Linked DNA regions of Macaca mulatta. Each later gene encodes a partner of the first gene's protein in a complex. Links are inferred from orthologs where the notes say so. Each region holds a gene or a part of one and is shown in the gene's direction. Other genes may lie near its edges.

The links.
Region 2: the proteins of PTPN3 (region 1) and MAPK12 are in contact, whole or in part, in a crystal structure (PDB 4QUM), measured with the Homo sapiens proteins. The link is inferred for Macaca mulatta from reciprocal best matches to the Homo sapiens genes PTPN3 and MAPK12. Residues at the interface, in NP_002820.3 of Homo sapiens: Arg655, Leu671, Asn674, Arg675, Tyr676, Lys677, Asp678, Val679, Arg751, His812, Ser843, Ala844, Gly845, Ile846, Gly847, Arg848, Met883, Gln886, Thr887; in NP_002960.2 of Homo sapiens: Met182, Thr183, Gly184, Tyr185, Val186, Val187, Arg189.

The regions. Positions count from the first base shown.
Region 1 is NC_133420.1:48,896,237-48,901,995, forward strand, and holds the start of PTPN3 (tyrosine-protein phosphatase non-receptor type 3), read left to right. Parts: upstream 1-2,166; 5' UTR 2,167-2,260; intron 2,261-2,699; exon of another isoform or gene 2,700-2,788; intron 2,789-3,030; exon of another isoform or gene 3,031-3,634; intron 3,635-5,759.
Region 2 is NC_133415.1:1,184,212-1,190,190, forward strand, and holds the start of MAPK12 (mitogen-activated protein kinase 12), read left to right. Parts: upstream 1-2,271; 5' UTR 2,272-2,543; coding exon 2,544-2,668; intron 2,669-2,747; coding exon 2,748-2,877; intron 2,878-5,947; coding exon 5,948-5,979. UniProt on the Homo sapiens protein: Serine/threonine kinase which acts as an essential component of the MAP kinase signal transduction pathway.

The DNA.
Region 1 (5,759 bases):
ATTTTCCCATATTTCCTTCTAGTGTTGGTGAATGTGTCAACACCATGTTTACACAATCTATTTGTGTTTTTAGCTTTGTTGTTGTTGAGACAGAGTCTCGCTCTGTCACACAGGCTGAAGTACAAATGGTGCCATCACAACTCACTGCAGCCTTGACCTTCTGGGCTCAAGAGATCCTCCCACCTCAGCCTCCCATGTAGCTGAGGCCACAGGTGCATGCCACCACACCTGGATAAGTTTTTTTTTTTTTTTTTTTTGCAAAGATGGGGTGTTTCTATTGTTGCCCAGGCTGGTCCTGAACTCTTGGGCTCAAGCTACCATCTCACCTGGATCTCCCAAAGTGCTGGGATTACAGGCATGAACCACCTCACCCGACCTGGTTTCTGCATTTTTTTTTTCATTTAACATTGTACCCTAAGTTTTCCCTGTTGCAACATGGTCTTTTTAACTTAGTATAAGATAGCTATTATTTCAACTAATATACCATAACCTAATTAATCATCCCTCTATTGTTGAGTACTTTGTTTCCAATTTGGGGAGTATTCTTTCATTTTGTTCCTGCTTCTGTTATGGTGATTTAAAATGCATGATATTAAAAATATTTAGGTCTTTCCTTTAGGTGTAAGCACGTTTCTAGCTCGAATTTGAGGGCATCGTTTAAGCTGACGGCTGTCAGCTGTGAGAAAAGAAAAGGGAGTTTCAGTCTAGGGGTCAGCAAATTAAGACAACTTCGAAAATTCACACATCCTCCGTTGACCTCGTTTTCCTCATCTCAGCAGTTGGCAAACTGGCATGAGGATGACTGTTGATTTAGGTAGCCACTCAACAAATGGATCTTTAAGGTAGTCTAAACACGTTTACGTTCCTTATTTCATTCAACTTCCACTTGGGGCCCAGATTGAAGCGTAGGTATTCACAATGGTTGAAGCACAGAGGATGAGGCAGCGGGGAAAGCACAGAGAATGCCACCCGCTGAGCCCCGGGGCGCTGGGTGGAGCTCTGCGGGGGGCGTCGCCTGCCCCTCCAGGGGGCTCCTCCTTCCGGGGGCTCCAGCCCCGCCCGGCTCCGAGCATGCCCAGTGCGCTCCCCGCCGGTCCGAATGGTGCTGAGCGGGCGCCGCAGCTCCAGGTTTTGCTGGCGACTCGAGGCCGGGCGGGGCGCGGGCGGTCCTGCCCCTGGACTCCGGGCTCCGTCGGAATTCCCCCCGACGCGACGCCCGGGCGGCACCCGCTGCAGCGGCGTTATCCCGGGACATGCGGCTCGGGGACAAGGACCGAAATGAGCTTCTAGGGGTTGCCGGGGCCTCAGTCTATCCCTGGAACGACCGCCCCCAGGACCTGGCACCCAGGCCCGACTGGAGGGTTCCAGCCATCTCTGCATCCCTTCGTTCACATATTCAACAAATAATGTTTGAGCGCCTACTGTGTGCCAGACGGTGTCGCAGGGGGGTCCCTGCAGTAAAGACAAGCAGAGCTACAGCCCCAAAGCTGACATTCAGGAGGGAAATACAACATGAGAATTAAACAAATCGGAGGAAAAGCCAAAGTGACAGATCTCATCTGCTCCTCTGCCTCCTTGCCGTTCCCTAAGCGGTCCGGCGCCCTTTTGGGTCTTTGCACTGGCTGTTCCCTCGGCCAGGAATGCTCTTACCCGCTTATCTGCGTGGCTGAAATACTACTATCACCTTCTCAGTGTCACCCGATCAGACCGCCCATCAGCTCAAGGGCCCTATCCGACTGCTTCACTGAAAATTCACTACTTACCTCCACCCCCAAACCTCCTGACCCTGCTCTTTTTCCCTCTTAGAACTTATCACTTTCTAATATAACGCACAGTTGGCTAATTTGCTGTTTATCTGTCACCAGTCCCTCTTTCCCCAAACTCCACGGGGGGACAGAATTTTTGTCTATTTGTTCACCACGCGAGAAGAACCAGAATAGGTGCTCAATAAATATTTGCTGATAATGGATAAATCGTGTTAAATGCTGTGAAGAAAATAAAGTACATGAAGTGGCCAGGAGCAGAGGGCTAATCGAGGAAGGTGGTCAGGAAAGGCCTCTCTGAGGAGGGGACCTATGTACAATGAGAAGGCGCCGGCCACGTGAAAAGCTGGGTAAGAACGTCCCACAGAGGGAAAGGCGCGCGCCAATGTCCTGAGGCTGGTGAAGTTCCAGAGTCTGATGGACAGAAAGGTGCTCTAGGATCCTCAGGAAGGCAGGTGTGAGATGAGGCGGAAGTGGGAAGCGGGAGCACAGACCAGGTAGGGGTCCCACGAGCCTTGGGGAGGTTTAACCAGGGAAGCTTACTAGTGCCGCGGGACGAGCACTGGACTGGAAGTCAGCGGGACCTCGGCTCTACCGCGCACCCGTCGTGCAAGACTCCTCGTTTCAAAGTTTCTTTGGGCGCCGACTGCTTGCCTTCCCCAGGCATGAAATCACTGAGGGCCTGGCACACAGTAGGTGCCCAGTCATGGTTGTGGAACGAATGGCTGCATGCATGCGTGAGGGAACTCAGGGCCTGCCCGGAGCTCGGCGGAGAGCCCCGGTGGCCCCAGGAGATGCGTCGGGGCGCGCCAGCCTGGGGCGGGGGCGGGAGAACACCGCAGGCCAGCCCGGACGCCCGCCCCCCGCCCGGCGCGCGGGCCCTTCGCGGCCAGCCCGGCCGGCGGGAACCGCCCGCGGGCGGCACTGGGCATGCTCAGACGGCGGCCAGGTCGCGCCGCGAGCGAGCTTCCGCGCCGCCCGCACGCGCGACCTACCTGGGCGCTCTGCGCCCCCGGATGCTTCAGGTACTGGCCAGTGCGACCCCAGCGAGCCAGGGGCAGGGCGCGGGGCTGCCGGGGGCCGGGGTCGCGCTCGGCGCCACCCCGCCCCCACCCGTCCCTGGGGCGCGCGGCGGACGCGCGGGCGGGCTGGCGGGTGCGGCGGCACCGGGTCCCCGCACCACGTCGGGGCGGGGAGGGGGCGCCCCGCCGCGCTCACCTGGCGGGGCCAGGGCGGGAGGGCGCGGGCGGGGCGCCGGGTGGGGCTCCGCCGGGCGGGCGGGCGGGTGGCCGGGACGCTGCGCTGGAGCGTGGGCGTGCGCTCCGGCCGGGCAGGGGCGGGCGCAACCCGCGGAGCCCGTGCCACCGGCACCCCCGGAGGACCCCGCGCCGCCGCGACCCCGGCTTGGGGCTCCGAGGGGGCGCACAGCGCGTGGGGAGCCAGCCAAGCGCGGCGGCCAGCGCTTGGCTCCCAGGGTGAATCCGCCTCTCGGCTTTCAAAGATGGCATTTCCTGGGCCTGGCACGAAACTCCAGCGCCAATAAATCCTCCCCGTTCCGCGGGCGATATGGAATGATTTATCAGGTACCTGCGGTGAGAGAGCTGCAGAGGGGGGAGTGTATGTGAGAGTGCCCAGCCCCCCGGAAATTCCCATTTTCAGCTACCTAAACTTACTGAGAAGTTGCCGTTGCCTTAAAAATTCATGGGAAGTTGAGACAACTTGACACCTGGGTTTTCCGAGTTGGTGGAAGGAGCTTGTGACTTGGAAACTGGAGACCTCCGTTCAAGTTGGACTCCCCTTTGGCCAGCTAGTGACCTTGGGCAAGTTGTTTAACCTCGCTGGTCCTCAGTTTCCTCTCTTGCAAACAGCTGGTAATAATGCCCACCTCGCTGGGTTGTTGAGTGGCTTAAGTGGGATAAATTATGTGGAGGTGTTTGGCACCGTGCCCGGCACAAAGCTAGCAAGCAGTTGGCGTGATGTGAATTTAATTCGTTTAGAGACCCTCGTGGCTCTCATTTCAGCAGGAAATTAGAATTAGGAAACCATCTTCACGGCCTACTGGTGGAGTGACAGACCCTATCTCTGTGCCCAGGAGAACTTCTGCCGAAGTCAAGGCCTTCGGAAAAGCAATTTAGCCAAATTGTAATCAGAGAGCATCTCCTTTAAAAGCAGTTTTATACATTCAGAAACTCCAGAAGTTGGCAGTTTGGCTTCACTTACAAAAGAGCTGTTTTGTAAGATGATCCATCTTGCAAATGTTTAAGCAGATGATGGGAGAAAGTAAAGCCTGCTTAGGAAGATTTCTGTTCTAAAAAGCTCTCAAATCCAACTTTAAGTGATTATTTAGATCAGGGTTTCTCAGCCTTGCACTATTGACATTTGGGGTTTGATAATTCTTTGTGTCGTGGGCATTGTAGGATTTAGAAGCATCCCTGGTCTGTAGATTGCAGTAGCAATTCCTGTCTCCCAGTTGTTCCAACCAAAAATGCTTCCAGTATTGTCAGATGTCTCCTAGGGAGCAAAATGCCACTCCCACACCCCTTTAGAAACACCAGTTTAATTCATGCTTTCTGTCATTAGCCTGAGTTGTTTGATAATTTCATCTTGTGCTTTTGTAATAACTAACCTTTGCATAACCTTGTAGAACTTACAGAGTACATTCACCTGTATCATCTCATTTAATCTTTACAACTCTTGTGAGGCTGGTGTCACTCCCATTTTACAGATGAGGACATTGAGGCTCTGAGCAGCCAGTTACACAGTATGTGGTAGAGCTGGGATGTGTAACCCAAGTCTCCTGGTTCCAAGGGCAGGTCTTTTTCTTCTGCATCAAGCTGCCTGCCCCTTTGTTGTATGGAGGCTTTGATATGGATGACTTTCCGGATGATTAAATCAAGATGTGAAGTATATTGGAAGTTGGAAACTTTTTTGAGATTGACTAGTTGAAAATTAACAACAGTAAGCTATTATCTGACAGAGTAGGCCATTCTAGTTAAATATTCTAGTTTATAGCGAGCTCCCATAAATCCCACATGCAGTTAATGGAATACCAATTTGCAGAGAATTAGAGTAGAATAGAACGTGCCTAATACTCTGTATTGGTCCTGCGTTGTCTCTAGTGATTTGCCATCTCCTGAAAAGGACTCATATATGCAAATTAGACATTAGCTGGGGAATGTAAAAGGTCAAGTTACTGAAGGCATTTCAGAGTAGCTGAGGCATTTATTGAACTTCTATATGGCAGATGTAGTGCTGGGTGGGGATGTGGGTTGGACCCCAGAGAATCCAGGGTGCCTGCATCCACTTCCCTGCAGGAAAGGGCAGGCCCTGGTCAGGCCAGACAGGTGGTGGGCCCTCAGACAGCTTGGAGCAGTAGAAAAAGCCCAAGGTACCATAGAAGCAGATTCAGGATCCCATACCATATCATCAGTCATGTCTCTGAGCCCTCGATTCATCTTTTATCATACAGAAGATACTCTGGTAGTTTTAAGCATGCTCATTGAAGTCTCAGAAACCTGGTTAGGGAGGCAAGGTCAGAGACAAATCTTATCCCTGGAAGAAGTTGGGGTTCCAAGGTGGTAACTGGCTTTAGAGAATTGAGACCAACACTTTGTTGGCTGTGAACTGGAAGGTTTCACACACAGTGGGGTTTGTTGCTGCCAAACCCCACCCCGTTCCCCACCTTGCAGATAAGGAAACTGAGCTGGCAAAGGTGGTAGAGTGGGGCCAGGAGCAAGAGGGACCAATTTTGACCTTCTGAACTACAGGTCCAGGCACGCAAAAGACAACATTTTCTAGGATAGGCATAACCTACCAGAAGGGCTCAGATGGGAGGGAGTGAGAAGACATGGCACCCTGCCTTTCCCCAACCGTCAGGGTTTGTGGTGGTTGAGAAGAGACCAGCAATTTGTGGTCCCTACATCTTTCCCCAGGAGAGCTCACCTTCCAGCATTGTGGTCCTGGAAAGCAGGGACAATGCCTCTTTATCTTTTCCCA
Region 2 (5,979 bases), on another chromosome or scaffold:
CTCCTGAGGCTGGGGGTGACTGGGTGGTTTGGCCTTGAGGACGCTAAGGCAGGCAGCACACGCGGGTGTGGACTTGGACTCGAACACTTGTGCGCCGCACCCTGGCCCGCTCTCTACCTCTGCCCACCGTTGTGGCCCTGCAGCCGGAGATCTGAGGTGCTCTGGTCTGCGTGTCATTCCTCTTTCCTTGTCCCAGGATGGAGCTGATCCAGTAACCTCGGAGACGGGACCCTGCCCAGAGCTGAGTTGGGGGTATGGCTCTGCCCTGGAAAGGGGGTGACCTCTTGCCTCGAGGGGCCCAGGGAAGCCTGGGTGTCAAGTGCCTGCACCAGGGGTGCACAATAAAGGGGGTTATCTCGCTCGGTTCATATCCAAAGGCCACTCCAGGCCCTGCTGCCCCCGCCATCCCCACTGCTGGGCATGGGGGGAGTGTCTGGGTCACTCTGCATCACTCACCTCTAGCTGGCCAGATCCCTCAGGCCCCCAGTCAGACCAGTGGCCATCTTCTGGCACCCTCCCTGCTCCCTGGAGGGTCTGAGCCCAGGGGGACCAGGGGAGGACACGGCTGATGGGTGGGCTCTGAGGGCACAGGGTGGGACGGCCACCCAGATGGTGACCCCAGCTGCCCTGTGGGGATGTACTGGGCAGGCTTGGCTTTGGGCCAAGATCCAGACACCACCTCCCTACCCCTCAGTGGTCAGGGAAGCTGGCTGGGGGGGAGTTGGGTGTCAAGGGAGCAAGGGTCTGCCCATCCCTGGGTGGGGGCTGGGTGGGCTAGGGAAAATAGCTTTCCTTTCCTTCCTGGTGAAGGAAAAAGAGGCCACTTTAACCCAGAGAATGTGTGTGCTGGTCCCGTTCCCACTATGCTCTGCAGCTTACGTGTGGGGGAGGGGCCAGACCATTTGGGGTCAGGCAGTGTCTCTAGGGGCCAGGGACAGTCTGTGCCCTTGCTTGGGTCTTGGGTAGGGGTGGAAACTGTCTGGGAGTTGGGGGCCCTCCTGGGGCCTCATCAGTGTAGTGGTCAGTCCTGGGGGAAGTCCAGTGTTGGCGGTTGGGGGTGGGAGCAGAATGGGGACACAGCCCCCCCTCAGAAGCCTGGTCTGTGCGGGGCCTTCTGGACCCCTGAGCTCCACCACGGGGAGTTAAGGGGGACAGCAGTGGCAGCTGGGCTTCCTGAAAGAGGTAGATGGAGTGCCACAGGCAGCCCAGGGCACAAAGGGTGCAGGCCACAGGCAGCTGTGGTTTGGGCAGCCCCGGGCTGCCCCTGCTCACTGGGCACGAGCTGATGAATGCCACGGAACACAGCCCAAAGCCCAGGTGTAAAGCTCCTCCCGCCCTTGAGCGGCTGAGCTGCTGATTCATGGCCGGAGGGCGGGGCAGAGGGCCCTAGCGATCCTGTTACCCACCAGCCCAGTGGGCTCCCGGGGTGCACCCACATCCCTCCTCAGACCCAGGTTTCTGGACTGCGGTGGGGGTGTCAGGGTGGGGCTTCGCCCACCAGAGCATCTGGTCTAGGATGGGGCCAGACATATGGGAGGATAATGCCCACACAGAGGGGTCAGGCTGAGGGCCCCAGCAGGTCCCCATCCCTGCTGGAGACAGTGCAGCCACCCTCAGCCTGGGTTTTGCAGGACAGGACAGGCAGGGATGGGACGGGCAGGGGCACCAGCACTTGCAACACTTGCAGCAGTCACCCCGCAGATGGGGGGAGCAGGGGGAGGAGTTGGGTGTCCAAAAGGGCCCTCGGGGACCTATGGGACTGAGAGGCCCGGGGTCAGTGGCCACAGGGGTGGGGTTGGGGATGCAGCCTGAGGATTTTGGGAGACAGACCCCTCCGTGTAGAAAGAGGGATACAGGCAAGACAGGTGCAGATGGACCCCCCATTCGGGGATGGATGGATCAGGCGCAGAGGTAGGGCATCCTTGGGGGTGGCGTGGGAAGTTGACTCTAGGTACACAGGGCTCAGCCCAACTTGGGACTGCCGATAGAAGTCAGCGCTCAGGCTGTCAAGGATGGGCCCTGCGCCCTGGAACCATGGGCAGTCAGGACTGGAGCCCAGGGTCTCAGCAGGAGCTCCCCACTCCCCCGGCTCCACCCCCAGAGCGGGGCAGTTCAGCCAAAGGGGAGAGGCTGACAGGGGTATCTCCGCGCCGCGTCCGGCCCTAGGTCGGAACAAAGCTGCGGGGCGGCGCTCCCCTCCCCCTGCGCTTCCCCCCAGGCTCCGGCCCTCCCCCGGCGGCGGCCGCCTCGGGTTTCCGGAGGGGCCGGAGGGCGGGCGAGGGCGTCACGTGCGCGCCGCCCGCGGGCCGGTTGGTCCCCGGGCGGGGGAGGGGCCGTGCGCTGCCTGGGTCGGGGTCGGGCCAGGGTCGGCACCTGGGACATCCCCGAGGGAAGGGCCGGGAACAGGAGCGTCCCAGCGGCGGGCGGGCGAGCAGCGCGGAGTCGGCCCGGGGCGCACGCCGAGGAAGCCCCGCCGATCCCAGGTCCCCGGTCCTGGGGCACCGCCCGCGGGCTCTGCGGGGTGGGCGGCTCCCGGGCCTGCCATGAGCTCTCCGCCGCCTGCCCGCAGTGGCTTTTACCGCCAGGAGGTGACTAAGACGGCCTGGGAGGTGCGCGCCGTGTACCGGGACCTGCAGCCCGTGGGCTCGGGCGCCTATGGCGCGGTGTGGTGAGCGCGGGGCGGCCGGCGGGGCGGGCGGGGCCTGCGCGGGGTGCCCGGCCTTCCCGCTAAGCGGTCCGCCCCGCAGCTCGGCCGTGGACAGCCGCACCGGCGCTAAGGTGGCCATCAAGAAGCTGTACCGGCCCTTCCAGTCGGAGCTGTTCGCCAAGCGCGCCTACCGCGAGCTGCGCCTGCTCAAGCACATGCGCCACGAGAACGTGAGTCGCGCGACCCCGCTCCGGGAAGGCGCCCCGGCCTCGGCTGGGTTCGGCTGGGCTGGGTCCCTCCACCCGGCAACCCCTTCCCCAGGCAACCTGCTGTGGGGCGGGGCGGGGGTCGGGCCGTGGGCCCCCAGGGGAGAAGGAGAGCAAGGAGACGACTCCCCCAAGGGCCATTCCCCCTCCTCTGCCAGGCCCGGGAAAGAGCCCCTTGACTTGGCGTCTCAGCCAGGCCCTGGTCAGGGGACACGACTTGGCCAGGCCCAGGGGATCCTCCAGGTCTCACGCCAAACCCTGCCCCCAGCCAGGAAGCCCGCGGTGAGAGGATGCTCCCGGCAGGAGGATTTTCCTGGAAGGGGCACCTTCTCTTTCCCATCCGGGCCCCTCTCCAGCCCCTCTGTGGAGCCCACTTTGTTGCTGTCCATCTCCCGAGTCTTCCGACCCGGTGGAGGGGGAGGAGGGGGGCGCCAGAACGTAGGGAGTATGGTGAACCCTGGGGGTGAGTGAAGGGTTCAGGGAGCTGCTGTTTGGGGGGCACTGGGCGTGGTGGTCATCTCACAGACACCCTCCCTTTCGTTGTGGGGGCCCATCCTTTCCAGTCCTGCCTGTGAGATGCCATGCACAGCTGCCCTGGGCCTCTCCCACGGAGTGGCTGGCTGCGAAGAGCCGGACTTCTCTGCCAGGGGCCCTCTGGTTTCTGGACACAGTCCCACTTGTCCACTGCCCCCCATGTCACTCCTGCCCTGCCCCTGGTCTGGGCCCAGCCTGAAGGCAGGTGGCCTGGGCGCCCGGACCCTAGCTCCAGTGTGAGATGCTCTGGACCCTCCTGGGTCATCCGAGCCACCGGTGCCCTGGGAGAATGAGTCCCTGCGTCCACCAGCAAACCACCCGCCCCCTGGTTCCTGGCCACCGCCACTCTCTCAGCCCCTTGGGTGGGTCCTTTTCTCTGAGGCTTCCCATAGCCCACCCTGACCCCAGCTCACCACCCCGGGCCCTGTGAAATCTGTTTGCGGTGGACACCAACCTTGCCCCCACCTCGACACCCCCGTCACACCCGGCCCTGCCCCCACCTTGCCACCACTGCACTCCCCCATCCCGCCCGTCACACCGAGACCTTGCCCCAGGACTGTAGCCTTCCCCTCGGCCCCCTGCCCCCACCCACCCACTCACTCACCTGCTTGGGCCTTGCCCCATCCAGCCAAGTGCTCTGGGGCTTTTCTTTCTTCTTTTTTTTTTTCTTTTGAGATGGAGTTTCGCTCTTGTTGCCCAGGCTGGAGTGCAATGGCATGATCTCGGCTCACCACAACCTTTGCCTCCTGGGTTCAAGTGATTCTCCTGCCTCAGCCTCCTGAGTAGCTGGGATTACAGGTCCATGCCACCATGCCTGGCTAATGCTTTGTATTTTTAGTAGAGACGGTGTTTCATTATTTTGGGCAGACTGGTCTCAAACCCCTGACCTCGAGTGATCCGCCTGCCTCGGCCTCCCAAAGTGCTGAGATTACAGGCCTGAACCACCGCGCCCGTCCACTGGGGCTTCTCTTTTTTGAGATGGGGTCTCCCTCTGTCGCCCAGGCTGGAGTGCAATGGCGCGATCTGTGACCTCCACCTCCTGGGTTCACACAATTCTCCTGCCTCAGCCTCTCTAGTAGCTGTGACTCTAGGCACCCACCACCACACCCGGCTAACTTTTTGTATTTTTAGTAGAGACAGAGTTTCACTATGTTGGCCAGGCTGGTCTTGAACTCCTGACCTCGTGATCCGCCTGCCTTCGCCTCCCAAATTGCTGGGAGTGCAGCCGTGACCCACCGCGCTGGGCTTTTCTTTAGCCACCGCCCTGCTGTCCTGGGGTCCCCGCTGTGCCTGGGGGTCCACCCCCTGGGCTCCCGGCCTGCAGCTGAGGCTCCTTCCCTGGAACCCCATCTTCCTGGAAGACTGAAGCTCTGTGAGGCCACATGCCTTGCTCAGCGGGGGAGGAGGCTCTGCCACAGGCCCCAGTCCTGCCATCCCCATGCCACCTCCCTCTCCAGGCCAGCCCCCACACCACAGAGGCCAAGCCAAGTCCTATGGCCCCTAGCCCACAGGACCCTGCTTTCCATCTTCTGCCAAAGCGCTCTCCTGGGCACCCTCCAGCTGTCGTGTCCACAGACCCCACTGTTCCCAGGCCTCCCTGGACGGGCCTCTGTTCCTTCTCCTCCTCCCTCCACATTCTTGCCCATGGCTCTGGCAGAGCTGTCCTTCCAGTTTAGGTCCATTCTTGCTTCACTCTGGCCAGTCCCTACACCACGGCCAGCAGGACGCGTTTAGCATCACACCCATTTAAATCCTTCCCTGTCTCTTGGGATCAAAGCCAAACTTTCACCTGGTGTGTGCTGCCCTGCCGGCTCCCTCTGGCCTCTCCTCAGCCCCTCCCTGGCCTGGGCCTTGGCCACCTGGCCTCCCTCCCTGTGTTCCTCAAACTCTCCCAAGTGTTCTCCCTCTTGCCTTGGCCACTCTGCATGTGCCCTCTGCCGGGTGTCCCGCAGCCCACATGTCTACCTGCCCCTCCATCCTTGGCTGTGCAGAACTTCTCCGGGCCTCCCTGGGACCCTGTCACCCCAAAATGCTGAGGCAGCAGTTATCACATGACCTGTCCACTGTCCATCTCCCCAACCAGGGGTGCTGTGGGGACCAGGTCTGGCGGGTCATGGTGCTGTCCACCTGGGCCTCACCAGCAGAGGCCTGGCCTCTCCTCATAGCACTATCCCTTCCCTGGGTGTCAGTCTGCTTGGTTGGGGAGAAGAGGGGAGAAAGGGGCAAGTGGTAGGAGCCCTTTGGATGGTTCAGAGCCAGCCCAGACTCCGGGTTGCCCTTCCCCCAGAAGATCCCGGCTGTCACCATCCAAAAATAACCTGTCTGTGGGTATGTGTGCCAGGGCTGGGCCACGCTGCCAGTGGGCAGAGCCAGGCCCTTTGGACAGTGGGGCATGACGACAGCTGCAGAGGGGGTTTCCTGCCCAGAGGGCTGTGCCACTCTTGGGGGGGGCCCCAGCCCGTGTCCTCCGCTGCACTCTCAACCCTACCTGGCCCCCCAGGTGATTGGGCTGCTGGATGTGTTCACTCCTGA